4 linked regions of the Tamandua tetradactyla genome follow. Each later gene encodes a partner of the first gene's protein in a complex. Links are inferred from orthologs where the notes say so. Each region holds a gene or a part of one and is shown in the gene's direction. Other genes may lie near its edges.

Evidence for each region.
Region 2: CEP290 (region 1) and TMEM107 share a complex: the UniProt entries of both Homo sapiens proteins name them as parts of the tectonic-like complex. The link is inferred for Tamandua tetradactyla from reciprocal best matches to the Homo sapiens genes CEP290 and TMEM107.
Region 3: CEP290 (region 1) and TCTN1 share a complex: the UniProt entries of both Homo sapiens proteins name them as parts of the tectonic-like complex. The link is inferred for Tamandua tetradactyla from reciprocal best matches to the Homo sapiens genes CEP290 and TCTN1.
Region 4: CEP290 (region 1) and TMEM17 share a complex: the UniProt entries of both Homo sapiens proteins name them as parts of the tectonic-like complex. The link is inferred for Tamandua tetradactyla from reciprocal best matches to the Homo sapiens genes CEP290 and TMEM17.

Annotation. Positions count from the first base shown.
Region 1 is NC_135333.1:157,258,681-157,265,880, reverse strand, and holds the start of CEP290 (centrosomal protein of 290 kDa), read left to right. Parts: upstream 1-4,183; 5' UTR 4,184-4,539; intron 4,540-5,075; exon of another isoform or gene 5,076-5,078; 5' UTR 5,079-5,103; coding exon 5,104-5,205; intron 5,206-5,318; coding exon 5,319-5,396; intron 5,397-7,200. UniProt on the Homo sapiens protein: Involved in early and late steps in cilia formation. Its association with CCP110 is required for inhibition of primary cilia formation by CCP110.
Region 2 is NC_135332.1:62,012,671-62,020,685, reverse strand, and holds TMEM107 (transmembrane protein 107), read left to right. Parts: upstream 1-5,008; 5' UTR 5,009-5,188; coding exon 5,189-5,275; intron 5,276-5,480; coding exon 5,481-5,548; intron 5,549-5,646; coding exon 5,647-5,747; intron 5,748-6,490; coding exon 6,491-6,587; intron 6,588-6,823; coding exon 6,824-6,893; 3' UTR 6,894-7,621; downstream 7,622-8,015. UniProt on the Homo sapiens protein: Plays a role in cilia formation and embryonic patterning. Requires for normal Sonic hedgehog (Shh) signaling in the neural tube and acts in combination with GLI2 and GLI3 to pattern ventral and intermediate neuronal cell types.
Region 3 is NC_135331.1:11,363,404-11,370,304, forward strand, and holds the start of TCTN1 (tectonic-1), read left to right. Parts: upstream 1-3,892; 5' UTR 3,893-3,950; coding exon 3,951-4,170; intron 4,171-6,901. UniProt on the Homo sapiens protein: Component of the tectonic-like complex, a complex localized at the transition zone of primary cilia and acting as a barrier that prevents diffusion of transmembrane proteins between the cilia and plasma membranes.
Region 4 is NC_135343.1:35,276,356-35,283,557, reverse strand, and holds the start of TMEM17 (transmembrane protein 17), read left to right. Parts: upstream 1-4,184; 5' UTR 4,185-4,270; coding exon 4,271-4,367; intron 4,368-6,960; coding exon 6,961-7,064; intron 7,065-7,202. UniProt on the Homo sapiens protein: Transmembrane component of the tectonic-like complex, a complex localized at the transition zone of primary cilia and acting as a barrier that prevents diffusion of transmembrane proteins between the cilia and plasma membranes.

The DNA of each region.
Region 1 (7,200 bases):
ATGATTGCAAAAAGCCCTTATCTTGTACCTTTGTGACTAAGAATTGTTACTTCTTTTTTTCTGGTCATTTTCTTGTAGGGCAAAGACCCTAATGCTAATGGATAATTTGTAGTCAGCCATTAACTAGCTTCAGTCCTAGATATTTGTAAATCATATTCCCTAGATTCAACTATTAAAGATAACTTGTATCCCTTTCTTTTGGCTTACACTTTTATACTTTTAGTATTGAAGTGATAGTTCTGCCTTCTCTCCTTTCAACTTCTGTTCTCCTATTGAAATAACATTGTGTCCTTTTCTGCTTTAAACTTGTTATCCAAAGTGACTGCATCTCCCCTCACTAAACTCCTTAAAAATCCTGAACCCTCTAAACTCAGGGAAACAGATCTTAGGCCTCTAGGCCATCTGCTCACCTACTACATGCCTAGAAATAAATTCTGTCTTTGAAACCCCAGTGTCTCAGGAATTGGTTACTGATTGCGTCTGGCAAACGAATCCACCACTTTTGTCTGATAACAACTATGGCTAACAATTTAAAGAGTAGAAGTCTCAGCCTGGAAGGCTAGTCTCTGCTACTCATGGCCCCATCATCTAGGAATTAGCCTGGGATTCTTTAAATGGTGATCTCAGGAAAACAACAGGGCAAGTTTCAATGCAGGAACTTTCAGGCCTCTGCTTCCTTAATGCATTGTTATTCTCAACCAAGCAATTTAAATCCAGAATCAATGTGGGGGAGGTTATAAAACTGCCAATGACAGAATTTTAAAAAATCTCCAAGGCAGCTTAATATGAGAAAAGGAGTGCTAATTCTAGTTCATGTTCAGGAGCTCAGATGTAGAATCATCTTAGTCTCTGTCCGAAAGAACAATCTGCAAAGGTAGAGTTTGGAAGGCTAAGGGGAGGGGGGTTAGTTACACTAAGTATAGAGGGAAGCATGATTCCCTGGGGGGTCACACTGTAAAAATGTAATACATCACTGTCAATTGTTTGTTTTGTGAATTTAGAGGTTTTTTTTTCTATGTTCACAAGCATACCCATACATATGCAAATAGTGTGATTGGAGAGTCGCTTGGTTTATCTGCTTACATTACAAAAATGAGATGTCACTATATATTTTATTACAGCTATGATTGGCTTTTCCGTGTCATTGGCCAGTATACAAACATTATAAATCCAAATACCTTCACCTGGCAACAAAACGCTTCAACTGAAAACACAGTAATTATATTTAAAAATACAAATCTAAAATGTTTCTCATTATGCAAGTTTCCTATGTTTTACTTAATAGTTTTGTTCTAAGTTCTCGTTTTTTTTTTTTAAATACCTTATTAGTTTTGTTCTATCTTTTAAGTTCTCGTTTTTAGAAATATGTATTATCAGGAGGTTGGATATTTCAGAACAATATTCTATATCACTGATGTCTCATTTTAAAAATTTTCCTTTTTCTTCTAATGTATTCTGAGAAAATATAACAGGATTATTCCTTTTCATGATATTTATATCTTTTAAAAATTTTATTGGTAGTACATTTCTTCTCAAGCTTTCTAGTATTTCTTAGCATAAAGCTACTTCAGCAGAAGGCAGCTCTATCAGTTGTTTTTTTTTCACCTGAGCTGTAGAGTAATTTCAGACTGCAACTAAAGACAACTTATAACCTACATCATAGATACAAACACATCTTATAATACAATTCTGGCAACAAAATTGTACTGAGTGCTCACTCTTTCCAATGATCCAACAGTTCAATTGTGTAAAAAATAAACCTGCAATAATGAATCTGGAAATATTTAGCCTATGAAGGGAAGTCCTCCCAGTTCAATGGTTCCATGGTGACTGTACCATCTTCTTTAACAACAACGTTCTATGTTCTACTTCTAAAGTTTGTAAGTTTGTTTGGCCTGCTATGACGTCTACTATCCTTTCCAGTCTTCTCATGTTGAAGGAAGACAAGTGTCTGCTTGCTGTACACACCTCTCTCCAAGAGAATGAGGCAAAAACAAAGTATTAACCATACATAGTGAATATATTTCCTGCTTTATTTTAGACACTGAAAAAGTAAGCTACCACTTATTTACATGATAAGGCAGCAAAAAGAGAACAGTAGTAACATCTAAGAAATACTGGCTGACTGCTTCAGAGAACAGAGGTAGCAATGACAAAAGACAAATCCATCTCGCAAAGAGATTTTGGTCAGATAAAACTGTTCATAAAGCCCTAGAGAAAAAAGAAGGCAGGTCTAGGCAAGTGTTTCTGAAAGAAGGTCACATTAATCCCTGCTCTTTGTGGAAACTGAATAATGCACAAAATGTGATGAAAAGTAATGGACAGTATTAGCGATTTTCCTCAGAATTACATAGTGAGATACAAAGTATCTCCAGTGTCTATTACAGTGTTCAAGCTCAAAAATAGAACAGGTTAAAGAATGAAATTTTATGCACGAGTTTGCTTTTAGTCAGGATTATTATTGAGATCTGGGTTATATTAGCTTCACCAATTATTAGGAAATCACTTAATTTCTCTGAATTTGTTTTAACTTCTGAAAAATGAGAATAAAACTTACCATAGGCCAGGCACCTTCACGTGCTGGTAATATAAATATGAATAAGAAGGTAAGGAAGGTAAGGACAAAAAAGACCAATACAGTAAAACAAAATCAGTAAAATAAATATCAAGTAATAGCTAGTTACAATGAAAGTTATGTAGAAAACAGGGTATTATGATAAAAAAGATTCTTCTTACAAAAATAAATATGCAGTAATAAGCAAAGTAAATACTAAATTTCATCCCTTCCTTTCCCTGTAAATTGTGAATTAAAAACATTGAATGTGAAGAATATTTGAAGTCCAGACGAAATAAAGTCTCAATTAGAATATGATATATTTAACATAGATAGAAAAGTTGATTCACTCAGCCCTTTACAAATACTGGTGCCCAGAGAAGTTAGAGTAGGTGTTAAGACCTTGTCCTCCAGAAAGAAAGAACCATGTTCAATTATCCTACTTAGATTTGATCAGAGTACTTAAACTCTCTAAGATGCAGTTTCTTAACTTAGCTGGAAAATGAGTACAGTATTAAGAACCCATCCCACTGGATTTTTATGAAGATTAAATGAAATAATGCACAGTATTTGGCATATAATCTTTCAGTAAAGGACTAAATTATAGTATCTACAAACCCAACACATGTCTCTAAAATTTATTTCACAAAGTTAACGTTTTTATTTTCACCTGGGCTACTTTTAATACTCAAACGAGTGGTTTGAAAAGAAATCTTTTATTTTCAAAAGGAAAATTTACTATCGTATTAATAATGAAAGAAAAGCTAAGGAAAAAAAAATGGTAACGATGAGACGCACTGGCACACACAGCTGGGAAGTCATTTTACATTTCAAGTCTACAGCTTCTTAAATTACCTAGTGCTGTATCAAGCACTAATCCCTCATACTCCAGAATCGCGGGGAGCAGAAGGATGCTCAAAACTCGCACGAATAAGTGCGGTAAATAACTGAAGAGGCCCTCCCATAGAAGGTACCCTCGGCAATCAAACAAGTGGTTTGACAAACCTAGCGGCCCTTCTCTCTCTCCAACACCCACCTCCCACCCCCAGCAGGGACCTCTTCTTTCCACTCTACCCTAGCACTTATCGAATCCTTAAATCCGCGAGAGCAATGGTAAAGCGGACAAGATCGGAGGACCACCACATCTTTTCAATTCTTCACTGGTCCCCAAACCACGCTCTGGGCTGCGCGGGCCCCACTTCACAATATGGAGATAGATTCTGATACCAAAGAAGGACAAAACTTTTTTCCTCGCAGAGGGCACCACCCTGGCGCCTCTTGCAAACGCCTGAGGAGAAGGTGGCGCTTACTAGCTCTTCAAAACAGGGCCAGGCCCTTCGGTCGCAGTGCGTGGAGCTTCCCCTCAATTCCTTTCCCTCCGCTGACCGACAGCCGAACCTCACCTGGTAGAGGTACCACAGCGATAGCCGCTTAGGGAAAGCGCAGGAAGAAGGGCCCAGCGAGTGAGGCCACTGAAGCCATAGTCATGGCCTAACTCGCTCAGGCCACCAGTGTGGACGCGTCTCAGCCCCCGTACCTCCCGCGTCTAAGTATTATCCAGGTTGCCCGGGTTCGGGCGCAGCTTCCCGCACTGCACGCTGGGAACACCCACCCTCCCTTTCCCAGCGGCTTCAGCTCCCAGCATGCACAGGACTCGGCGCAGAACTGCGCTCTGGGATTTAGAGGCCTAATTGCATGCCTTCTCCTCTTCTTTAGCACGTATAGGCGGGGAATCTAAACGTAAAGCATTAATCCACAGTCGTGAAATGTAGGCTCTGCTTGCATCCGGGGCCTTGCTCCGGAGTCTGCGGGGTGGGGAAAGGCGTCGCTTAGCAGCCACCGCCGCTACTCTGCATGGTTCCAGTTGGCCGGACCTAGACGTCGAGTGGAACGGCGCTGGGGGTGTGGTCAGAGCTCGGCGGCTGGCTTAGGCGTGGTGGGTGCGGTAGATGAGGGTTCTTCGCTGGCTACCTGTTTTGATCTAGGTGGGTTGCTCTTCCTGAGAGCTGTCGGAGTGTTGTGAAACGCGGGTTCTTTAGCCTCACAGGGCCTGTATTTAACAGCGCCGCTTCTCCGCCGCTTTTAGTCTCTCTGCAATCTTGCCTTCCGCGCTCCAGCCCTGGTTTCCCAGGCCAACTTCACTCAGTCCAAATGTTTATTTCCGCACTTTTTTTTTTTTACCCGTAGTTGCTGCTTATCCGAGTCAGTCATTTTAAGCCTTTCAAGTGTCCCCGCTCTTGGCACCATTAAATGTGCGCGCGTGTTGAGGACAGGGTTTGTCGGGAAGGGGATCCAGAATCTCAGGCCTAACCTGGATTCTTTTAGCAAGGAAGCCGTCGAATTTTATTTATTCGGTACTGTTTTTTTTTCTGACAGTTTGGGCCGACTGCTACAGTTCTTGGTTAGGCTATTTTGCCCATTTACTTCTTTTGCAATTAAGGAGCCATAACTAACACCGCAGAGAGTTATGAGTCAAGACTGTTTACCTTGGAAATGCTAATATACACTTGTTTTATTATAGAAGGTAAAGCACAGTGAAAGAATTCAAGATGCCACCTAATATAAACTGGAAAGAAATTATGAAAATTGACCCAGATGACCTGCCTCGTCAAGAAGAATTGGCAGATAATTTATTGATTTCACTATCCAAGGTGCTTAATATATACATAGAACCATGATTAAATCTTTGCTCCTGAAATCATTTTGTAGTAGAACTGGAAGCGTTCTTATAGTTTGGTTAAATAGTTGCTTTTTGTTTACATAGGTGGAAGTAAATGAACTAAAAAATGAAAATCAAGAAAATGTGATACATCTTTTCAGAGTTACTCAGTCACTAATGAAGGTTTGTATGCAGTAGATTTTATTATTAAACTATTAGAAAGCATTTAAGAATCTCTTCTTATCTGAAATAAGTAATCTCTGCCTAAGTACTTTGTAAAATCTGAATCAACACTCAAAAAGTGAGATATATTAAAATGTGGTGGGAATGTCAAAGGGTGCAACCACTGTGGAAGGCAGTTTGGCGGTTCCTCAAAAAGCTGAATATAGAATTGCCATACGACCCAGCAATACCATTGCTAGGTATCTACTCAAAGGACTTAAGGGCAAAGACACAAACGGGCATTTGCACACCAGTGTTTATAGCAGCGTTATTTACAATTGCAGAGAGATGGAAACAGCCAAAATCTCCATCAACAGAAGAGTGGCTAAACAAACTGTGGTATATACATACGATGGAATATTATGCAGCTTTAAGACAAGATAAACTTATGAACCATGTAATAACATGGATGGACCTAGAGAATATTATGCTGAGTGAATCCAGCCAAAAACTAAAGGACAAATACTGTATGGTCCCACTGATATGAACGGACATTCGAGAATAAACTTGAAATATGTCCTTGGTAACAGAGTTCAGCAGGAGTTAGAAACAGGGTAAGACAATGGGTAATTGAAGCTGAAGGGATACAGACTGTGCAACAGGACTAGATACAAAAACTCAAAAATGGACAGCACAATAATACCTAATTGTAAAGTAATCATGTTAAAATACTGAATGAAGCTGCATCTGAGCTATAGGGATTTTTTTGTTTTTGTTTGCTTGTTGGTTTGTTTGTTGTTGTTGTTTTTTACTATTACTACTACTTTTATTTCTTTTCTTTATATTAACATTTTATATCTTTTTCTGTTGTGTTGCTAGTTCCTCTAAACCGATGCAAATGTACTAAGAAACAATGATCATGCATCTATGTGATGATGTTAAGAATTACTGAGTGCATATGTAGAATGGTATGATTTCTAAATGTTGCGTTAATTTCTTTTTTTTTTTTTCTTTCCGTTAATAAAAAAATAAAAATAAAAAATAAAAAAAATAAAAAAAAATAAAAAATGTGGCTGAAGAGAGCCCTTAGTGTGCAAAGCATTGCTAGTTCCTGCTCTAAAGTTCCTAGAAGAATGTGTAGGGGAAGCAGAATGGGTTTATTTAGAAATAAATAATACGTTTTGGTATATACGGAGGTCCTAATGAATAATGCAGGCAATAACTGCTATAGTTGTAGATAAAAGGAGGAGAGATCTAAGAGGTTTGAGAAAACTTTGAAGACTTCATGCAGGATCAGGTCTGACAATAGTTTTAGATAAGTGAATGGGGAATGGTAAAATGGTAAAGAGATTCTAGAGCTGAGAAATTACCGTAATTAAAGACAAGAAATAGGAGTGTGCTTATTCTTTGCATTTAAGGAAACAGCTGCAGAAAGTGTGTAGAGAATATAGCACATTGGTGAATGGTTTGGGATAGGCTATCTTAAGACCTTATTTTATGCTAACAACAACAAGGAGCCATTAAGAGTTTTGAGTTACCATCAACAGATGTAAAAATATGCCTTAGACATGAGATCTTACTGGTTTGTATAGGGGTTATGCAATGCCCTGATATATCCCAGAATAATTTGGGCAGAGAATAAAAAAGTATTTGCAGAGTCCCCTTGAGGGACTGGAGAGAAAGGAAGAAATAATAAACTTCCCCATCTGGGGAATTCCTGATATTCTTGCAAGCAGTGGGGACAACAAATTCAGTAGGCTGAGCCCTTGATCTTGGGGTTTGCCTCTATGAAACTTTTGCCTGCAAAGGAGAAGCTAAGCCTACT
Region 2 (8,015 bases), on another chromosome or scaffold:
AAAAAAGGCAGGAGACAACTTGAAGAGGCTCAGGCTGGCCAAAATTGGAACAATTTGAGCATCAGAAAGAAAAACTGCAATGGATTGAAACAGACAAAAGAAGTTAAGACTCATAAGCTCACAATGGTACTGAAAACAACGAATTAGTCAACTTTGGAGGATGCTTTTAAGGAATCAATTAATTATTCAGAAATTTAGTAAATAAAGAGGGGAGAATAACACTTTATCCTGCCTTAGCCATATGACCTGTATCTCAGGGTAAACAGCACGTTGATGAGGGCACCTTCTCATTTATAGAAGAATCCCAGCTGATATGCAGGAGGAATGATGGAATTAGAACATTTCCATTTTGCAATTTCTAATGAAACAATGGAGCTTGGTGATTATAATTGAGAAATTAGGATTTAAGGGATGATTTTGATTACTGAATCGTTATACAGATATTCCTTTTTGCTTTCTGGTATATTGGAGTAGACAGAGGGAAATTCCTGAAATCTCTTAATTATAATCCAGCTGTCATGGCATCTGAAATTATTGTAAAAGCCTTCACCTTGTGACTTCGTAACTCTAAAAGCTGTTACGCCCTTTATCTGGTCATTTAGTTATAAGGCAAAGGTCCTAATGCTAATGAAGAATTTGAAGTCAGCCATTAACTAGCTTCAGCTCCTGATATTTGTACATCCTATTAGCTAGATTCTGCTATTGAAAGATAACTTGTCTCCATTTCTTTTGGCTTACACTTTTTGTACTGAAGTCGTTAGCCTGCCTCCTTTCCTTTCAATTTATATTCTTCTATGGAAATATTGATAACATTGTCTCCTTTTCTGCTTTGAACTTGCTACTCGAAATGACCACATCTCCCCTTGCTAAAGTCCTTAAAAACCTTGAACCTCCCTAAACTTGGGTAGATAGATTTTGGGTCACCAGGCCATCTGTTCTCCTACTATATGCCCAGTAGAAACTCTTTTCTCTCTGAAACCCAGCTGTCTCAGGAACTGGTTATTGAGTGCGTCAGACAAGATAATCCACTGCCTTTCTCTGGTAACATGATGGCCAATGGATGCTTGAATCATGAGGTGAAAAAATGATGGCAAATTTATAATGACTGCATCATCAGTCTGACTGCAACTGAACCCAGTGCTCAATCCTAACACCAGAAAAAGACAAGCAGCCATCCTGATGTGATGGAATAGGAAGTACCACAACCAGGATGTATTTTCACTAGAAATTGAACCTAAGACTGAAGAGCCAAACATTAGACAGTTTACAGGGTTTTAAGAATATGTTAAATGACAGCACAAGAATACAGCCCACAAAATGGCCCAGTTTCTTCAAAAAATAAATTGCAAGAAAATAAAAAGAGGAAGAGGAAAACGTAAGATTAAACGAGATTTAAGACCATGCCTGGGAAAGAGATTCGATTTCTGGCCCATGTAACCCGGCTCCTGCCCCCACCCCATCCCACCCCCCAAAAAAGAGAGATTTAAGAGTCATATCAATCAAATGCAATGTCTGGACTTTACTTCGATCTTGATTTGAGCAAACTAACCGTAAAAAAAAAAAAAAAAAGGTATGAGTGAAATAAGACAGACACAAAACTAAAAATATTGCATGATCTCACACATGAAATAATTAGAATATGCAAATTAAGAGTCATGAACTAGAATACAGGTTACCAAAGGAAGGGGTAGGGAATGTGAAGTTAAGGTTTAATGGGTAGGAGGTTTCTATTTGGGGTGATAAAGAAGTTTTGGTTATGAATGGTGGCGATATTAACACACTATGAATATAATTACAATGCTGAATGGTGTCCTTGAAAGTGGCTAAAATGGGAAATTTTATATTGTATATATGTTATCACAACTTAAAGAAAAATCCATAGAACTATATACAACATAACAAGTGAAGCCTAAACTATGGAGATTAGTTAATAGTGTAATTATAATATTGGTTCATCAATTATAACAAAATTACCACACCAATGCAAAGTGTTAATAATAAGGAAAACCATTGGGGGGAATATATGGAAACTCTACTTTCTGCCTAATTTTTCTGTAAACCTACAACTGCTCTAAAAAATAAACAAAAACAAAAAATTATATATATATATGTGTGTGTGTGTGTGTGTGTGTATGAGACAGTAGGCCAGTATGGACTATTTGATGATATCTGGGATTTGCTTCAAAATAACTGAGTGGTGTGGAATAGATGAAATAAGGCTGGCCATGTGTTGACAATTTTTGGAGCAGGAGGATGGATTCAGAAGGGTTCATTACCTTATTCTCTTTATATAAACATATTATACTATACATGTTTGAAATTTTCCATTATAAAAAAGTTTTGTTTTGGGGTACATGGGCTGGGAATCAAAAAAAATTTTTTTAAGTTCTTGTATTTCCAGTTCATTGTTAGGACTTGTGGACTGTAGCCCTGGAGGGCTAACTGGAGGACACCTGGTTAACTAGCAGGCCCTTCTAAGGTTGCAGATTATCTTTAAAACTCACTTTTGTGAAAACGCTAGCGATGGCTTCATCTATCTAGGGTAGGCTTCTGTGAACCCAGGTCACAGAAAATGATGCATACCTACAATGTCCGTTTAGTATTTATTGATTTACAATAGGGAACGTGACTGTTCAATTCTGACTTTCTAATAGAGCCTCTAGGCAGGAAGCGTATTGTAAGCAAAACACCCCAAACTTCCAGCTGCTGGAGCCTAAAATCTTACAGTTACCCTTGACTGTTCTCTTTTCTCACCTGCCCAAAGCCCCCACATCCAAACTTTCTTATATTCTATACAGCTCTTGATTCCCTCTGTTTCTCCACTTTTTGCCTTCTCCCTAGTCCAAGCCCCATCATACTCCCTCCTGGACACTTCTACCGCATCCTCACTAGCCTTCTGCTTATAGTCTTACTCCCTTAAAGTCTATTCCCCACATTGCAAACAGAGACATCTGAAATACACATCCATTGATGCCCCTCTCCGTAGCTGCAAGGCGTGACATGAACTGGCTTTTGCCCTTGTCCACCTCTCCAACCCCACCCTTCTCTTCTCTTACCCTTCCATTACTAGCCTTCAGACATACTGGCTTCCTTTCTGTTCGCTGGGCTTGATCCATTCTGAAGATCTTTACACTTGCTGGTCCCTCAGTCTGAAAGGCTCCTTCCCCAGAGCTTTACATGGCTGACTCCTTTTCTTCATTCCCTTTGTTCCAGGGGACTTTGAAGATTTTGCAAATACCATATCCTGGACCTTTTGTCGCTTAGGCCTTACAACAGAGCTTCCAACATCTGTGAGGAGTCAATTTTGCAACTGTCACTGGGGAAGCTTGGCTCTGAAGGCCTGAACTTTCAGGAGAAAATGCATGTCAGTTACAGTGAAGGGAAGAAAAACGTCCTGACATCTTTTCTACGCTATTTGCACACTTGTGACGCTGTAATATCTGTGCTGGAGAATACAGGAACCACTTCTCATTGTGGGGTCATCAGGATCATTCATTTTAGGAGTCAAATAGCAAAGGGTTACCTCAAGGGAGACAAACAGTTGTGTTTACAGTACTTGATTTTTCCTGTTCACCCTGAGATGAGGGGAGGTTTGGAAATACTTGCAGAACTTAGAAATGGTAACAGTTAAGGAGAGAACCTCCCCTACAAACCTGTGAGTGGAGACCAGTGTAAGCAATATTTGATTTGTTACCTTGAGTAGAAAATAAAAGGACTTTGCTAAATATCTCCCTTTGTAAAACTAAGTGCTCAGAAAAATCTAAAAAATTTTCCATTTATGGGGATAAAAGCTAATTTAGTGCTGCTCACTAAAGAGGTAGTTTCTATGAAAATGCCATTACATAGCTTCAGTATATAGGAAAGCAACATTTAACGGCTCTCAAATCCGAGATATCATTCCTTCTTTTTTTATAAAGCAATTTAATGTCTCAATTATAATACTGTGTAAGACTCAAAAGGAAAACTTAAGAGGCTTACTGTTTTAATCTTTTCGTTTAAAAATAATTTGATTTACAGAAAAGTTGCAAAAAACAGTACAAAGAATTCCCATGCCTTCACCCAGAACACATTCGCTTTACCGTTTTTCTCTATATAGACAAACACATACACACACACACGCACATAAATATTTTCTAAACCATGTGAGAGACAGTTAAAAAAAAAAAAAAAGAAGCGCATTTATTAATTTGCGGGCCTGGAAGAGAGAAAGCATTTTGCCACACTTTTGGCCAAATTCCCTAAAATATTTGTTTAACATTATGTTTAAGAACAAAAGACCCACTTTCAAAGTGCATTTCCTTGGTCATATTATTCTAGTGTTTTCCTATTACCGTGTGTTTGCCGTCGATGTCCCTGATTAGAATATAAATGCACGAAAGTAGGAACATTTGTTCTCCAATGTACTCCTAGGGCCCGTACAATGCTTAGTACTTACTAGGCGGCCAATAAATATCTGTTGAATTAAGACATTAGAAAGGCCTTTTGGGCTTGTAGCCCAGAACAAGGCTTAAAGGCAGAAATGGGAATGGGGGTTCTGCTGGGAGGTGGGCAGGGACCTTGTGAGAAAACAGCACTCCGGGGAGGGCTTTCCCAAATCTGCAAGGATCCCCTAGAGGCCCAAACGTCAGTGAGGTCGCCGACAGTGAGCGGTCTTTGGACTGCCAGGGGAAGGAGGGGTGCCGGACACTCCGAGGAAATCGCGCGCTTAGTCTGCCTCCCTACCTCAGAGCCTCCTGAGGACGCAGGGCCGGTTCCATTCCCTTCCTCCACCCGCCTCTCCCCTCTCCAGGCCCTGCCATCCACTCTCTTATAGAAACACGCCTCTTATCCGTATCTTTCTTCAAGAGAGCTGGCTGTTTCTCGCACTCTGCAAATCTCTCCCTAAACCGAACAAGGTTGTTGGTGACTTGCCTCCGGAGGAATGGATCAGGCTTCCTCACGTGGGTGAAGTTTGAGGACTCGAGCGGCTCGAGACTTCCCTGCTCTCGCGAGATTTCCAGCGAGCAGGGCGGTGCGCCCGCTCACGCCGTTGCCAGGACAACTGGGCGGGGCCAGCGCCGGCGGGAGTAAAGAGGCCGAAGAGTTTTTGTCCGCTCGTGCGGGGCTTTTTTATTAGTGGCCAGCCCAGAGTTTCCAGCCTCAGAGACTACAGCCTCTGCTCGGGGCGGTACCCCTGTCCTCGGGCACCATGGGCCGGATCTCAGGGCTCGTGCCCTCTCGCTTCCTGACGCTCATGGCGCATATGGTGGTCGTCATTACTTTATTCTGGTCTCGGGTAAGACCCACCGCTGCTCCTCTCCCACCTTCCAGCCCCGCCCCGCCCGGTCCTGCCCCGCTCCGCCCCGCCCGGTCCTGCCCCGCCCCTTCCCAGGACTACCTGCTTGGGTGCTTCAACCCCCGAGCCGGTACCCTACTCCCCAGGCTGCTCCGCATCCCGCCTCTCTTTCATATTTCTCTTCCTCTCCATGGCGGTTCCCCAGGACAGCAACATCCAGGCCTGCCTGCCTCTCAAGTTCACCCCCGAGGAGTATGAGAATCAGGACATTCAGTGAGCTCTTGGGGCGGGTGATCAAAATGAAGCGGTGGTGGAAGTGGAGGGGTCTTAGAAGTCCAGAAGTCCTGAGTCAACCCCCTTCCTCTCTGCAGGCTGGTGGCAGCGCTCTCTGTCACCCTGGGCCTCTTTGCAGTGGAGCTGGCCGGCTTTTTCTCAGGAGTTTCCATGTTCAACAACACCCAGAGCCTCATCTGTATCCTTTCTGCCTGTACACCTTACCTACACTGCCCATTCCATCACGACCCCTCTAACCAGGCTTTACTAGCACAGAGGGCTGCCTGGCAGGCAAACAGAATTTCTCCAGTTGACAGATCTTAGGCAATGTGGGGCATTTAATACAATCTGCAAACATTTGTTAAGCCTCTTCTATATACAAGGCACTAGAGAACCAGAATGAGAGTAAAACACAGTTTTCTACTGTGAGGAGGAAGCAGACACAAAAACATCTCTAATTCCGTGGGATAGCACTGTGCTGTGGGAGTGCATAAAGATATAAAAAGCACTATGGGAACTCAGAAGAGAGAGAGGAAGTGCAGAACATGGTTCAAAGAAGGCTCCTGATAGCTGAATTGTGGGCCTGGAGGAGCAGGGTGGTGGAGTATGTTTCAAGTAGAGTGTATCAAGGGGCTGTGAGCATTTCTGTCTGTGGTCTGGGGGTGTGTGGGGTACTTTCTGAAGGCCAGGCTGTCCCCTAGATATGTGTTGGGATACCCTGGAGTCCCAGCTGTGCAGGCTTACCTCTGGCTTCTACTCACCTGGCTGTCTTAAAACTCAGGAGACAGGGCTGCTGTCTCTGGCCCTTGTAGAGTGGTGGGAGCAAGAGATTAACTTGAGAGCAGGTGCTAGCCGCCGCTACCTCCACCCCAGGCCTTTTCTAGTCCATCACTACCTGTCCATCCATCCAAAGGTTTTCCTTGACTTTGGTGTGTTCCCAAGCCATCGGGGCACACTGTAGTGCATCCGTGGCCCTGTCCTTCTTCATATTCGAGCGTTGGGAGTGCACAACGTACTGGTACATTTTTGTCTTCTGCAGGTGCGATAGCACCCAGTATTTGGGGATGTGGGAGGAAGGTTTTCCCTGTGCAGCCAATTCCCCCTGGTGTCAGACACCAGATCCACTCAACATCCTGTGGTCTTTTGAAGTCTCTTCACCCCCCACTCCTTACACTTTGGGTGGAGTCTCTGGTTTGGGATTTTGGGTATTTTTATTGGAAGGGATCCTGAATCCACCGCCAATTGCTCCCTCCTTCTCCCCCCGCCCCACCCCAGCGCCGTTCCAGCCGTATCTGAAATGGCATTATTCGTCGCTGTCTTTGGGCTGAAAAAGAAGCCTTTCTGATCACCTCCATGACGAGAATGTTGGAACGAAGGCTGGAGGAGCAAGGGGCCGTACACGGGTCGTGAAAGAAGACGACGTAGGCTTCTCACTCTGAAACTGCACCTGGTGGAAGATGTGTATTGTGGTAATTAGCTCCCTATTCTAGGATTATTAGCGTTTTATTTCGTGCTTTATAATAAAAGATATTTTATAATAAGATCAAGACATGATAAAAATTTCAGAAGAGAATGAGGATGGTCAAATTACTGGAGAAAAGCAATTTTTTCTAGAATTACCGTTTTATTTTAGTTATTACGGTAGACATTTGGCGGGAGGGGATGGGTGGAGCTATGTAAATAAGGGAGCGGTCGGCCGCCCAGCGGTGAAAGGAGCAGTATGGGAGGAATTGGTGTATCCCTTTTCTGTGAGCCGGCAGTATGAGAACAATGTAAAAGAAAAGTAGCAGTAGAAATGTAAATTTCATGTAAGTTCCTAAACACCTTTAGGTTGACTAGGCTTAGACGTTATATACACACCCTCTGTAAAAGCGGAATCTTTTAAACAGTGCAGCGTGGTAGGAGGTTTTTGTTTTATCGTTAGGAGGGTTAATCCTGACCTGTTCCTCTTTCGGGAGGGCAGATTGGATATGTGATGATTGGAGTTGGCATGATACGTGATTAGCGTTCTGCGTAATCAGGGCTTGCAACACCCTGGTTGCTCCTATCTGATACCCCTAACGATCGCTTGTGGGTTTTTTTGTTTCGTTTTAGTTAGTTTGCGGTACGTCTTTGTTTTTTTTTTCAATTTGGAGTGAGTTATCATAGTATGGTTAGTGGGGGTTTGATTTGGACTTGTTTGTTCGTTCTGTTATGTCGTGCAGGAGGCGATGTAGTTTTATGTGCGACTTGTTTGTTACTTGTGGGTGACTCTGGTTATACGGAAACGTATAGATTCTTCTCCGATATTATTCGGTGTCTGTTGTCTTTTACAATCTTAAATGAGTAGTGGGTCAAGATGCCCACTTCTGATTTCCTGTAAAATGGTGGTGTCGTCGGTGTCGCATAAGGCTGTCGAAGTCTTTCTTGTCACCACGGTAGGAGGGCAATTTGCACGGAGTGGGAAGCCATTCATGGTCATGGTCGT
Region 3 (6,901 bases), on another chromosome or scaffold:
TGAGGTCAGACAGTATCTGTCCCTTTATGTCTGACTTATTTCACTCAACTTGATGTTTTCAAGGTTCATCCATGGTGTAGTATGTATCAGAACTTCATTTTTTACAGCAAAGTAATATTCCATTTTATGTATATACCACATTGCATTGTGTTTATCCATTCATGTATAGACGGACACTTGATGTTGCTTCCACCTCTTGGCAATTATGAAAAATGTCACTATGAACACCGATGTGCAAATATCTGCTCAAGTCCTTTCCCTCAATTCTTTGGGGTATATACCTAGAGGTGGGATTACTGGGTCAGAGTAATGCTATACGGAACTCTCTAAGGAATTGCCAAATTGTTTTCTACAGCAGCTACGCTATTTTACATTGCCACCAACAATGTACAAGGGTTCTTACTTCTCCGCATCTTCTCCAATACTTGTTATTTTCTGTTTTTTTAAGTAGTAGCCATTCCAGTGGGTGTGAAATGGTACTTGTGATTTTGATTTACATTTCCCTGATGGTTGATGACAATGAGCATCTCTTCATTTGCTTTTTGGTCATTTATATATCTTCTTTGGAGAAATGTCTGTTCAAGTCTTTTGTACATTAAACACAGTTGTCTTTTTGTTGTTGAGTTGTACGAGTTCTTTATATATTCTATATAAAGAATATATAGAATATTCAATACTTTCTCCCATTCTGTAGGTCATCATTTTACTTTCCTGATAAAATACTTTGATGTGCAAATGTTTTTAACTTCGATTAGGTTCCATTCATCTATTTTTTATTTTGTTGCCCATGTTTTTGGTGTAAAGTCAGATGGACATTTTTAATCACAAACATTTATATACAATCCAAATGCTGTGCAGCTGGATAAAATATGGGAAAATAACTTAGCCTCTCCTGTTATTTTCACATCATAATGATAAAGCCTGGGTAAAAGGAAGGGAGAAGGGGGCATTGTGAGAAAGATGAAAAAACCCAGATTCAAGAGGGTGTAACCTGACAGAAATGGATAATCCGTGAAATGAAAAGTTCGTTCCAATTTCCCTAAGGTTTACAAAATGTATCTGAGTTAACTTAACCTTCATTTTGACTTTGTAAGATGTCATAGATTGTTTTTAGGTCATCTACTGAGTGTTTGAGATTGGACAGAAAGAGGTGATGAGATTAGTTACCAAATCATGCAGCAGGTCTCAGTTGGAATCATGGAATATTTTACTTGAAGAGAATCTCAAAGGTCATATAATCATAAAGACAAAAATGTTAAAGTCATAGGGCACTTTATCAAATTCAATCAAACAGCCTAAAATTTCAAAACAGAAAATAGGACTAAGTGATTCACAGATATTAGAAATAAAAAGAAAATAGAGGTCTAGAAGAAAAGACTTCTTTCCCTTTTAAAAAAAAAAAATTAAAAAGTCCTGGACTTAGAAGTTATGTGATGAGAAGTTTCAAACTGTGTTGAAAAATACCGTTTTTTTTTTTTTTTTAAAGGAAGCATTTCATCAGTTATTAAAAACGGTCTAGAATTTCAGTCGGATGCTGGTCTAGTTTGCAGGTTGCCAGAATGTGATACCAGAAACGAAATCACTTTTAAAAAGGGGAATTTAATACGTTGCAAGTTTACAGTCCTAAAGCTGTGAAAATGTCCAAATTAAGGTACCAACAAGAGTTACCTTCATTCAAGAAAGGCCGATGAAGTTCGGGGTTTCTCTCTCAGTTGGAAGGGCACATGGTGACATCTGCTAGCTTTCTCTCCCAGCTTCTTGCTTCATGAGACCCCCCCAGGGGGTGTTTTCCTTTTTCATCTCCAAAGGTCTCTGGTTATGCAGACTCAGTCAGTTCTGGTGACTCCATTGATTCTGGTGGCTCTAAAGATTCTTCCAAAATGGTTTCCTCTTAAAGGGCTCTGGTAAGCAAACCCCACCCTGAATGAGTGGAAACGCATCTCCATGGAAACTATCTAATCAAAAGTTACCACCCACACTTGGGTGGGCCACATCTCCATGGAAACAATAATAAAAAAGATATCATTCAGCAATACTGAATGAGGATTAAAGGACATGGCTTTTCTAGGGTACACAACAGATTCAAAATGGCACAGATACTAAGGCAATAGTTGGCAGAAAAAAATTGGAAATATTTGTATTATAGATTTGAATGATCCAATGATATTTTATGTTTTTTTAAATTATATTTTTATTCACTTTCTCTGGAATGCCACAGGAAGGCCCTAACAATGTCACTTTGATAATTTAGCTTTGCTATATAAATTAAATATACCAGTATATATACTATTTCGGCATTCTTCTGAATGGGTAAACTGTGTTTCTTGAATAAATATCAGGATGTGTATAAGTATTTTCACATCTACATCTGAAATACAAGGAGAGTGTCAAAGGTATACCCACCATTCACAGGTTCAGGTACTTCTTTATAAATAATCCAGTTTACAACAGAAGGGCATCCTAATGTAATTGAAAAGTTAGGATTGAGAAATGATTATGATTACCAAATCATTATATAGATATTTCTTTTTACTTTCTAGTATATTAGAATAGACAGAGGAAATACCTGAAATTACTAATCCAGGTGTCTTATCTCTGATAATATTGTATAATGACAGTCTTTATCTTGTGATTATAAAATCCTTGTGACTGACTCTCACAACTGTGAGAGCTGTATCCCATTTTTCAACTTCAGAGTCTTATGATCACTAAAGACAGCCCCTAGTGTTTATGAATGAAGGGTCCTGAGTCAGCCCAGAACTAACCCATTCCAATTCCAAAGCTATGTTGATAGAGGAAGCTGGCTCTCACCAAAATGGGCCCGCCTGACATGTGCAGTAGCTTAGACTTCAACCTATTCATGACCTATACCTCATTATAATATTAAAAATCATGCCCCTCATCATATTAAGACCGCCATTTTGCTGACATACCTTCTTGACTAAGGATGTAATCAACCTGCACATGCTCAATAATTAGATTATCTCTAATTTTGTCATCTTGAGTCATTGTGCTTATTATCCTAAAACCTGACCATCCTTTGGGACCATAAAACCTTCAGAATTATTGCAATTCAGGAGACAGATTTTTAGCTAGGCCATGAGATCATCTATTTCGCACCTAACAATAATTTTTCTCTCTTTGAAATACCTCCCCCACCCCCCTACCCCCCACTCCCACCCCCGTCTCAGGAATTTATCATTTCAGCGCCTGGGGCAGAGAACCCACCACTTTTGACCGATATCACTAAGTCTTGTGTTCTCCTTACCATTTTGTAGAGTTATAGTAGATTGGGTTTGTTTTTTGTTTGTTTTTCTTTTAAGACTTAGAGATCAACCTACTCAAAAAAAAAAATCACCCTACTTAATTTTTGTCAGGTGTTTTTTTTCCGTCTGTGAAAATGTTGTGTTTATTTTCCCCTGTTACCACAAAAAGGTGGACAAACATTATTTGCGGACCCCTCTCGGGAAGCACCAAAACGACGGTGACGTGATCCTCACGCACCCCTTCAAAAGACCCGTATGTCGTCTCGTCAGAAATGCGGCTCCCAAATCTCCGCCCGCACACCGGCTGCGTCAAGACCTTTATTAAAAATACTGACTCTTGGCTGCCACTCTCTAGACCTACTGAATCAGAATCCCCTGGGCTGGAAATCCGCATATTTTAAATAGGCGCTAAGGTGGGGTTAGGAAACCATAACTAAACTTACAAGTGCCTTGTCTGGGCGGCTTCGCTCCGCCTCTGGGCCCCGCCCTGCGGACCCCACCCTTCCTCATCCCGGCTACCGTGGGCCTCGCCCCGCCCCCGCCCCTCCCTCGCCCCGCCCCAGCAGGTCTCCCGCCACCCTAGCTGCTTCACAGGCCCTTTCCCGTCATGCTCCGCGCCTGGCCCCTGCCGTTGCCAAGCAACGCGTGGGCCGCAGCGTCGGCCGCGGGGGGTTCAGCTGGGTGATGGGGCCGCGAGGCCTCTGGCCGCTCCTCCTCGTACTCCTGGGCTGCTGGGCCCCCGAGAGCGCCCGGGCCGGGGCCACCCCGGCGGTGACGACGGAGGTCCCCACCCTCACCCGGGCAGCTCCAGCGATCCTCGGAGCCTCTCGGTCGCCTGAGCCCATCGACACTCCCAGGGTTCCGGATCCCTCCTCCCGCTCCAGGCCCACCCCAGTCACGGATGGTGGGTACCTCGAGCCAATTCTTTGGGGTCCGGAGTGTTCCAGCTAGAAGGAGGTAACCTAGGGAAGAATGTAATAATACCAATGATAGCTAACTTTTATTGAACACTTACGTGTGCCAGATACTGCTCAGTGTTTTATAGGCATTGTTTAACATTTCCAACAACACTGATCCCCGTTTTATAAATAGGCTCGGAGAGCATAAGTGCGGAAAATCATATTTTTGAAAGTTCTTGCGGTGATACCGGACAAATTAATGCTCAAAGTAACACTGAGTGAGGCCGTGTAGCCAAAGATGAAATTTCATCAAGAAGATGCATTTAACTTTTTACTTACGTGAAAGAGAGATGCCGAAGGTTTAGCTTACTAAATGTGAAGTCGAGACCCTTGTCTGTTAATTTTTTTTTTTTTCAGAAAGTAGGTTTTTGTTCTTCCGTGGCCATTGGGCTTAGCCTCTGAAAGTCTGAGCCGGGAACAAAAGTTTAACATCAGATTTTATAGACAGGATGACACGTTAATGTCTCTTGATTTTTAATATGAAAACCCAGTTGGATGCAGGAAGATATGGGGTGAGGGGTTATGCCCCCTTCTTAGAAGTCATATTTAGGGATAGTTAGCATATATCTCAGAAAGCGACCCTCTAACCTGGGAGTTACACATTTAGTGAATATTTTATAATCTGATTTTCCACAGATGACTTCAGGGAGTGTCTATGACCTCCTGAAATTGAGTGCACAATTTTGCGACTGCATTTTTCTGGGGTGAGGGCCATAGTGGTCAGCAGATTCTCAAAGGGGTTTGTGATCTCAAAATGATAAAAATGTAAATCCTGTGTGCGGATTGGGAGTAACTGCAGTAGGTGTGCAATATATATATATATATCCTGTCTTAAGAGAAAAAGATTTTTACTTAAATAGGGTAAGACTTAATAACTAGAAAAGTCATCATTGACTGATGACTTTGAAGCGTAGGACTTAACTTTGGTTCCTGAACCATTATTTCTCCAGAAGCCCTCCTTTGATTATGAGTAGTATGTAAGAAAAAGTACAGTGAAATCCATTTGTTATTTGAATATATACACACAAAACTTTTGTATTTAAACAATTGATTTGATGAGTTAGTAAGGAAGTTAAATCAGTGATAAATTGAGACAGAAGACAGCAGACTAGTGAATGTCTGAAGTTCTCTAAAGCTTTTGGAACTGTGTTTTTTATGTAAGTAATCCATTTGCTAATGAATCTTGTCCCCAAGAAACTATTCTTGAATTATCATTAGTAGTGTTTGTATTCAGAACTGTTTTCCAGATGGAGGATGAATTTGTACTGATCTTCACCTTTTTAAAGGACCCCTCTTTACCTATCATTACTTGTGATGGTAATGATAACTTTCATTTATTAACTCTTTTTTCTTACATGGGCAGGCACCAGGAATCGAACCCGGGTCCTCTGGCATGGCAGGCAAGCATTCTTGCCTGCTGAGCCACCGTGGCCTGCCCCATTTATTAACTTTTATTAAGTGGCAGGCACTGTGCTAAGTATTTCACCTCCCATGTATCTCGTTTAATCCGCATAAAAACCCTGTGATGGGGATACTGTTACCCTCATTTTTTAGGTAGTTCAATTACTTGGTTAATTTAAGGTCATATGACTGGTAAGTGGTTGAGCAGGAAGGAAGTTGACCCACTATAGAGAACTGGACAGCTATTTGCAGAATGGGTCACAGGCAGTATTGGTGGAAGAGAAGAGTGGTAACTGTTCATCTTGAATCAGCTTGGTTCATTTGTACCCATTTGTCCTCTGCTCTACAAGCCAGGCTTGTAGATGTTAAGTGGTGTGTAAGAGCAGCCAAGTGCTGCTTAGACCCAGAGAGTCGTCAACAGATCCTTGTTGGCTGATTAAGTGCACTCACATCCTAGAGGGAGACACTTTTTTTCCTAAGTGGGATTGTTAATACTTCTCCTTTCTCTTTAGTAGTCCTGTAGCTCTTTTCCTTTTAAGTTTTGGAAAATAAAGCAGGATTATAATTTTAAATTCATAAGGCAGGGAAGCTGCATGTTCTTATTTACATTGGTTTGCACATCATTTTACAAAGCTAGAGAGAAGCACATAAATTTAAGGGGGAGAACTTTTGTGCCTTGGACTAGGAAAGGATTGTATTTATTGACAAAACATGGCACTTCCCCTCAATCACACATTTTTTTTTCCCATTGTGCCTTTTTGGGGACTGTTTTGTTTTTTTTTTTTAACTTTTTTTATTAATTAAAAAAATTAACAAACAAAACATTTAGATATCATTCCATTCTACATATACAATCAGTAATTCTTAATATCATCACATAGTTGCATATTCATCATTTCTTAGTACATTTGCATCGATTTAGAAAAAGAAATAAAAAGACAACAGAAAAAGAAATAAAATGATAATAGAGAAAAAAAAGACTATACATACCAAACCTCTTACCCCTCGCTTTCATTTACCACCATTTCAAACTGAATTTAACATTTGTTCCCCCTATTATTTATTTTTATGCCATATGTTCTACTCTTCTGTTGATATAGTAGCTAAAAGGAGCATCAGACATAAAGTTTTCACATTCACAGAGTCTCATTGTGAAAGCTATATCATTGTTCAATCATCATTAAGAAACATGACTACTGGAACACAGCACTACATTTTCAGGCAATTCCCTCCAGCCTCTCCACTACATCTTGAACAACAAGGTGATATCTACTT
Region 4 (7,202 bases), on another chromosome or scaffold:
AATATCACTTAAAATAGTATGAAAAGTTCTTTTCACGAGATTTAACTTTCTATGTAATTCATAGTCTAACTCTTTCTTATACACCTTTTTGAAGTGCTGAGAACAGAATATATTGTACTAGGGTTTCAAAAAGGTTTTGATTATCCATTAACAATTTGAGGATCATAAGATTATATTTCTAGTAATTTAGAATAATATTTTCTAATATGAGTACTGATGTGGAATCAGAATATCTTTATTCTACACAAATTACAATTTATCTTTAAAATGACCTAAATTCTGAGAAATGGCTCAGTTCATTTTAAGGCAATAAATTCAATGATGTTCATTCAAAAATATTTTTCCTCCTAAATTTTTTATTAGCATCAAGTAGAAATAATTTATCTTTATTATATCAAGGAGTAATTTGAATAACTCTCCAAATTAATTTCTTGTTGCATAGAGTAGTAATACTTGATACCTTTGCCTCTTGTCAAGGGGAAACAAACCATTGCAATAGCCTTGAATTTTTTGTGAAAATAAATATTTAACAAAGCGAACCATAAATGCAGTTAAGCCCCAATGAATACATTTAAAAACTAATGGAGAAATGGGTATTTGAGCATCAACATTGGTATAGGAAGTAAACAGTTTCACCCTAAATTTTAGGGTTATTTATTAATCGTGCCAGGAATGACTCCCCTGGTTCTAAGAATGGCAGTTCCATTCTTTTCTCTTTAGCTCCTGTGTTAGTAATATGTCCAGAGTACAAGAAAGCCAAATTATACCCCTCTCTTAATTCATGAAAGTGCATTTGTCCCCCTATTCTTCAGTATTTCACTAATGTGATTGCCTATAAATACTTTATTGCGAGGATCAACAAACAAGATATTTGGAGAGTTTGTCGTGCCCTTTGGACCATTTGCCACATGAAGGATGACAGAATTTTTTCCAATCCACAATTTTTTTCTCTCAAAGCTCTTTTCTCTAAGATATTTTTGCACCATCACTCCTTCTTTTTCTTCATGTACTTAGTTTTGGCAGTTATTTTGTGATTTTATTTGAAAATCAGCTATTAGTCTTCATCCACATTGATTGTAGGGTTTTGAAAGTGATGACAGGAGCATAGTAAACACCATCTAGAGCTTGTTTGGTGACTCTTCACTCTCATTAGTTTTCTGGACAACTGTACATAAATACCGTTTGGGACGTTCCTTTCTCCTTTGGCCCAACAGCTTTGTTGAGCCTGGAGTCAATGTGCACATCTGGCGTTCCCATCTCCTTTTCCTGGCAAATTTCCTAAACTCTTTGAGAGCCCAAGGGGCATGTTCTTGAAGCCCACTCTGTGGATACACTTGTGAATGTTTCTGGTACCCTCCCTCACCACCTCTTTGATGGCACAACAGCCCTTCTTCTCACCACCTTTCTTTGCAGGAGCCATTCTTCCTGTACCAGATTGGAAAGGAAGACCGCAAATCATTGTAGAAGGAAAATTATTTTCTAATTTATTTCTTAACAAAATTTGCTTTTTCCTGTGAAACATATGCTCATTAAGAAAATTAAGATAATAAATAAAATTAGAAGGAAAAATAGCCATAACTTCATTCTTTTCTTCCTCTAGGATTTTAATGAAATAGTTACATCAATGTTTCACTTCTTTTTTTTTTTTTAATGCTAGCAAAAAATCTTTAAAAGAATTCACTCAGGCTTTTGACAAATTTGGTTAACATGCATAAGCTGTTTTATTGTTGATTGCATCCAGTGTCTTTAATAGGGAAGCAATAGAGGTATTGCTTAACAGGTATAGTTGAATTCAGAAAACTAACTGCTGGCATGAGTTGACTCCACTGTAGGTGTTTCTTCTTCCTAAACATCATTTGAAAAAATGTGTAATGATAGCTAGCATTTATAGGGAGCTTTATTGAATGATATAATCTTCACATCAACCATAGCAGTAGGATATAATTAGTCTCATTTTACAAAACAAGGGTCGGAAATCAATCACACAGCTATTAGATGGCAGAGTGAGAATTTTAGGGGACTTGGACCCTGCTGTAATTCCAGGGGCATTTCTCCCATTACAGCCCAGCTCCTCACTACAAGTATCATACTCTGCATAAAAAGACCTTTCATCTAGGCACTTTAAATCCTGCTCTCCTCTTTTTTTTTTTTTTTTATGGCTAATATCAATGAAGGAAATAACATCTTGGTATATAACTAAAAATTGATTACTTTCAATGATTATTTCCCAAATAGATACTTAAAAGTTGGATTATGGTGTGAAAGGGCATGAAAATGTTTGTCTATTTATATATATTATTGATTGTTCTTCTAAATGGGGGTTGCTCAAGTATAACTCAATCAGCAGGATATTAGACTTCCTGCTTTTTAAAATAAAAATCTTGATTAATTAAATAGATTCAAAGTGATTCTTTGTTGCTATTTGTATTTTTTTTTGTCATAATTAACTGCCTTTTAATATGCCAGTTCTTCATTCTATAGAGAGGACCTTAAAGAAGGGCTGGCTAAATCCTTGAACTAGAAATGGGAAGATACTGGACTGATCATTAGATCTTTTATTCCCATTTATTGACTAAACAGTCATCCAGCTCCCACTATAGGCCAGACACAGGGCTAGTGTTGGGGATATAAAGAGAAAAACAAAAGCCCATCCTGCCATCAAAGAGCTTGTGGACCAATAAGAGGGACAGCCATATAAACAGACAATTATAGTTCAGTATGACAAACACCCTGTACAAAGTAAGCATAGGATCTTGGAAGCCTTTTTAGAGATGGTAAAGCCTGAGCTCCATCCCGAAACGCAGCAGAAGTTAGCCAGTTTTTCACTGATATCCCCAAGTCCCTGGCAGAATTAATTGCTTCCTCATCAGTATCCCTTGGTTAGAGCACTTAACAGTGTATTTTGCTTATTTGTTTCCATGTCTCTCTCACTAGCTGAGCTTCCTGAGGGGAGGAACTACAACCCTAATTTACCTAGTTCGATGCATGAAAACTCAGAAGAAATTCAGTAAACACTTATTGAATTATATTAAAATTCTAGCCATGAAGCAATTTCTTCCCATACTATCTTCTTGACGTTTAAAAAAGTATGTATAGCTTCCTTTTGCTCATAAAAATAATACTGTTTACCATATACCCATCAGAACGACTATAAATTAATAGAGGGAAGAAACAAACACTGCTGGAGTCAGTAGAAATTGGTATAACTACTAAAACTGGATTCTACCTTAAGACCCAGTAATTCCACACATAGATATATACTTTATATTTATATAAAGTATGAAAATAGGCAAAGCTAATCTGTGTTACTAGAAGTCAGGAGAGTTCCTAGTTGAGAGCTGGACTAAGAGGGAGCAAGAAGCGGGGCTTCTGGGAGTGCTGTAAAGGTACTGTTTGATCTGCGTGCCAGTAATAGATGTATACTCAGTTTGTGCCCTCGTCTATACGTACATTTCAACTAAACATGCTTTGTTTTTTAAATCATACATCTTATTTGAGAGAAAGCTGGAAAATACAGAAATGTTTTAAAAAGGAAATTTAAATCACCCACAATCCCATTATTTAGAGACAGCTACTGTTAAATTTGGTCCACGTACTCTCTCCTCCCACTCCCTGTCCCCACATACTTACACGCACATTTTGCTAAATTAGATTCATATTTTTTTATTTTACTTCTGCTTTTAAAACAAAATCCATATCATCAAATATTTTTTGCAAGCATGCTTAAATGTTACAATGTTATTCCACTGAATGCATGTGCTCTAATACATTTAATCAGTTCCCTATTGTTATATATTTTAGTAATTTATAGTTTGCTTTACACTTACAAAAAAAATATGGTGTGCAACGCTATTTTGTATATAGATTGAGGCACTAGTGGGCCATGAACGTTCTTTAAGCACTGCATCCATTCTACATTTCCCTCCGGAAAGGACGCGCCGAATTACACTCTTCACTGACAAGGTGTGAAGGCTCTGCTCCCTTGCATCACAATCCAATCCCAGGTCATTAAGGATGGCGGGGTTTACACAGGACGAGAGTAGCTGCCGTTTTGTACACAGCTGAGGCCTGGGCTCCCGGGGAATGGATGAGGCCCGGCGCGCGCATCCCTGCTGCAGGCACGCGGCTCGGCCCCGCACCCCGCACTCCGCGCTCCGCAGTGCGGCCCTGCGGAGCCTCGCGCCTCCCGGTTGCCGTGGGAACCGCCGAGCGCGGCTGCGCCCACAGACCAAGCTGTGTCTGTGAGGGCCAGGGGTACCGAGGGCCAGGCATGGAGCTTCCAGACCCCGTCCGCCAGCGGCTGGGAAATTTCAGCCGGACTATGTTCAGCGACTCAAACCGAACTGGGCCGGAGAACGAGGGTCCGGGTGAGTGGCCTGGGCCCAGGAAGGGGGTGTGGCCCGCAGTAGGCCTGGCGCAGGTTTTGGAGCGCCCAGTTTGCCCGGACCTAAAATGGCGGTTTCGCCTTCAGCTGGTTCTCTGCGGTACCGACAGCGCCTTGGAGGAGAGGCGGGGCAGGAGCTGGGGTTTGGGCCGGAACCCGGGTTTGATCCTGATCTGGTCGCGCTGCGCCTGACCCACACATTGCGGCGCCTATGTTGGCAAGGGCCTTTGCACCGTGAGGCTCAGCGCTGCCTGGAAGGAGACTAAACATTTTTTAATTAAATTTAAAAGCCGCCATAGTTGCGCACGTCCCTTTCCGCGCCCTCCGCAAAGACCGTGGTTGCTTTTTCTCCTGCGTATGCCTGGCTTTTGTGGCCTCGATGGGATTTGAGGAGATGGGGAGTAAGGGAGAACCATCCAAGCAACCTGCCCACCTCTTCTCCTCCGCCCCTGTGAAATATTGCCTGTTCTCACTTCCTAGCAGAACAAGTATGTTCCCTCACAGGTCCGTTTTACAGCAGGAGAGATGAAAAAAAAATTTTATGAGTCATTTTAAACCGCTATCCACTCTAGAGTGACAGCTGCCACACTAGCAGGGTCTTCAAAACTGGTCCCTTTCCCAGCCTTTTCCTCATTCCCTATATATAGCTCTTTCTCTAAATCCGGTAACAAAATAACACGATGCTACATTTAACATGATTACAAGTGAAAACGCAGTTTCATTCAAAACAGTTTTTTCTCCTAAGTCATGATAGATAACATCCTGTCGACCAAACCTTTGCTGTTTTCATCACTGCTGAGAAACCAAAGTCTTTTCCTCTGCTTGATTTTAGGGACTTTTTTAAAAAAGAGAGAAAAGCAAGGTCGATACCCATAGTTCATTTTGTCACCTTGATCATTTGCCTGTCCTCAAATTTTAGGCCTCTTTCTGATTTAGCATGTACAGAGAAAAACATAATGTGAAAAATTAGGTTTTCAGGTTTCTGATTCTACAGCTCAGGCTTAACAGACCCTAAAATCTGATGTTGCAAGGCAGTGATTTCAATCAGGGTCAGCAGTCTTTTTCCGGACAGGTCCAGATAGCAAATTTTAGGCTTTACAGTCCACCCAGTTTCTGTAGCAGCCATGGAAAATAAATAAATGAATGGGCATGGCTGTGTTCCAAAAAATATCTGTGTGTGGACAATGAAATTTGAATTTCATATGATTTTCATTTATCATGAAATTTTTTTTTCAACCATTTAAAAATGTGAAAAACCATTCTTAACTCGCTGCCTAAAATAACAGGCAGCTGGCCAGAAGTTTGCCTATTCCTGATTTATATTCTGTAATGTTTTAATTTAAATTCAGTTTGCAAAATTCATCTTGTACTTTTGTAAATTTAATAAATTGATGTTTTGGGCTTCTGAGGTTCATTTTCCATTGTGTGATTATAAAATTGATATGCTGAAATATGAACATAGCATAACTCAAGATGTTCATGCACAAAATTTCTAACAAAAACTTTTCTTTGCAAAATTTTGACTGCTGTCTCTGTTCCAAAAGTACTAAAATTTTCAGCTTAAGCAGTTTATCATTATTTTTTCCGTATTTTCTTCTTTGTGGATTTGAAGTAGGTTTGATTATTTGTACCATGTTTTCAAGTTTATATCACTACCATGTCCACAGCTAACCAAGAGTTGAACTGTTATGAAGAAATCCTAGGCTGATGATTTTAAGACTTTAAGAATTCATTCATTTATCAGTGAAGATTTAATAAATCTGTGTATGCAAAAGTAGATCATAATAATCAGGTTTATTCTTCAAGCGAAAGGAAACCTTACTGTGAAAGATTATGATTATTTATTTAAATAAATTACTAAATGATGCTGAAACTACTCAGATGTGGAGAAATAAAAAATAATCTGTTTTCAAGAAATTATTTTGGAACCTTTGTAAATTCCTACATTTATAGCAGTTGATTTCAAACTATAATTTCTACTCTTAAATTGGGGCCTAGTGAAGTGAGATGGAATGAGTGTGGTTCTTTGCTAATACTTTTCATCCACAATTGAGAATAAGTACCTCTGGGGGGGAATTTCTACTCAGGTGAGGAATCATGATCAAGGAAGGATTTATGGAAAAGGGGACATTGAACTGGGTGTTAAAGAATGGGTGGGATTAGGATATACTGAAAAGGGGATGCGTCTATAACTTGGACAGATTATATGAAACTAGTTTTTATGTATTCTTATGTATTCCTTTTATAGGCTGTTTATATAGAACCCTACATATGCTGTAAAATGTTATTATTATCTGTTCAATGACAAGTATTGAAATTCCACATTAAATCTACACCAGCATTGTGCAAACGAGTCAGCAGACCATAATGACAAAGTGAGAAAGTAATTGAGAAATATGAAACACACTCCCAAATAGATGGTGAAATTCCTTTCACCATCAATGGCTATAAATAGGCGTAAAATTTGGAGTTTTGTTGAACCAATACCGTGGTTTTCAATTCTAAGGAATGAAAGGACTTGCAGGCCATAGATCAGGATTTGGAGCATGTCCCTTTTCTCTGTGTTTTTTCTGTAGATAATGAAATGGTCTCCAGTTTGGCACTGCAGATGTCAATTTATTTTAACATTTACTTTTTCCCGCTTTGGTGGGTGAGCAGCATCATGATGCTTCAGATGAAGGTAAGTCTATACTTTTATACCTCTGCTGAGGTCTCTTCTCCCCATCCCTGGCATTGTTACATTGTCAGTAAAATTAAAGTCCTGATTATCTTGTACTATCTTAGGTCAGTTTCATGATATGTGAGAGCTTACAAACAT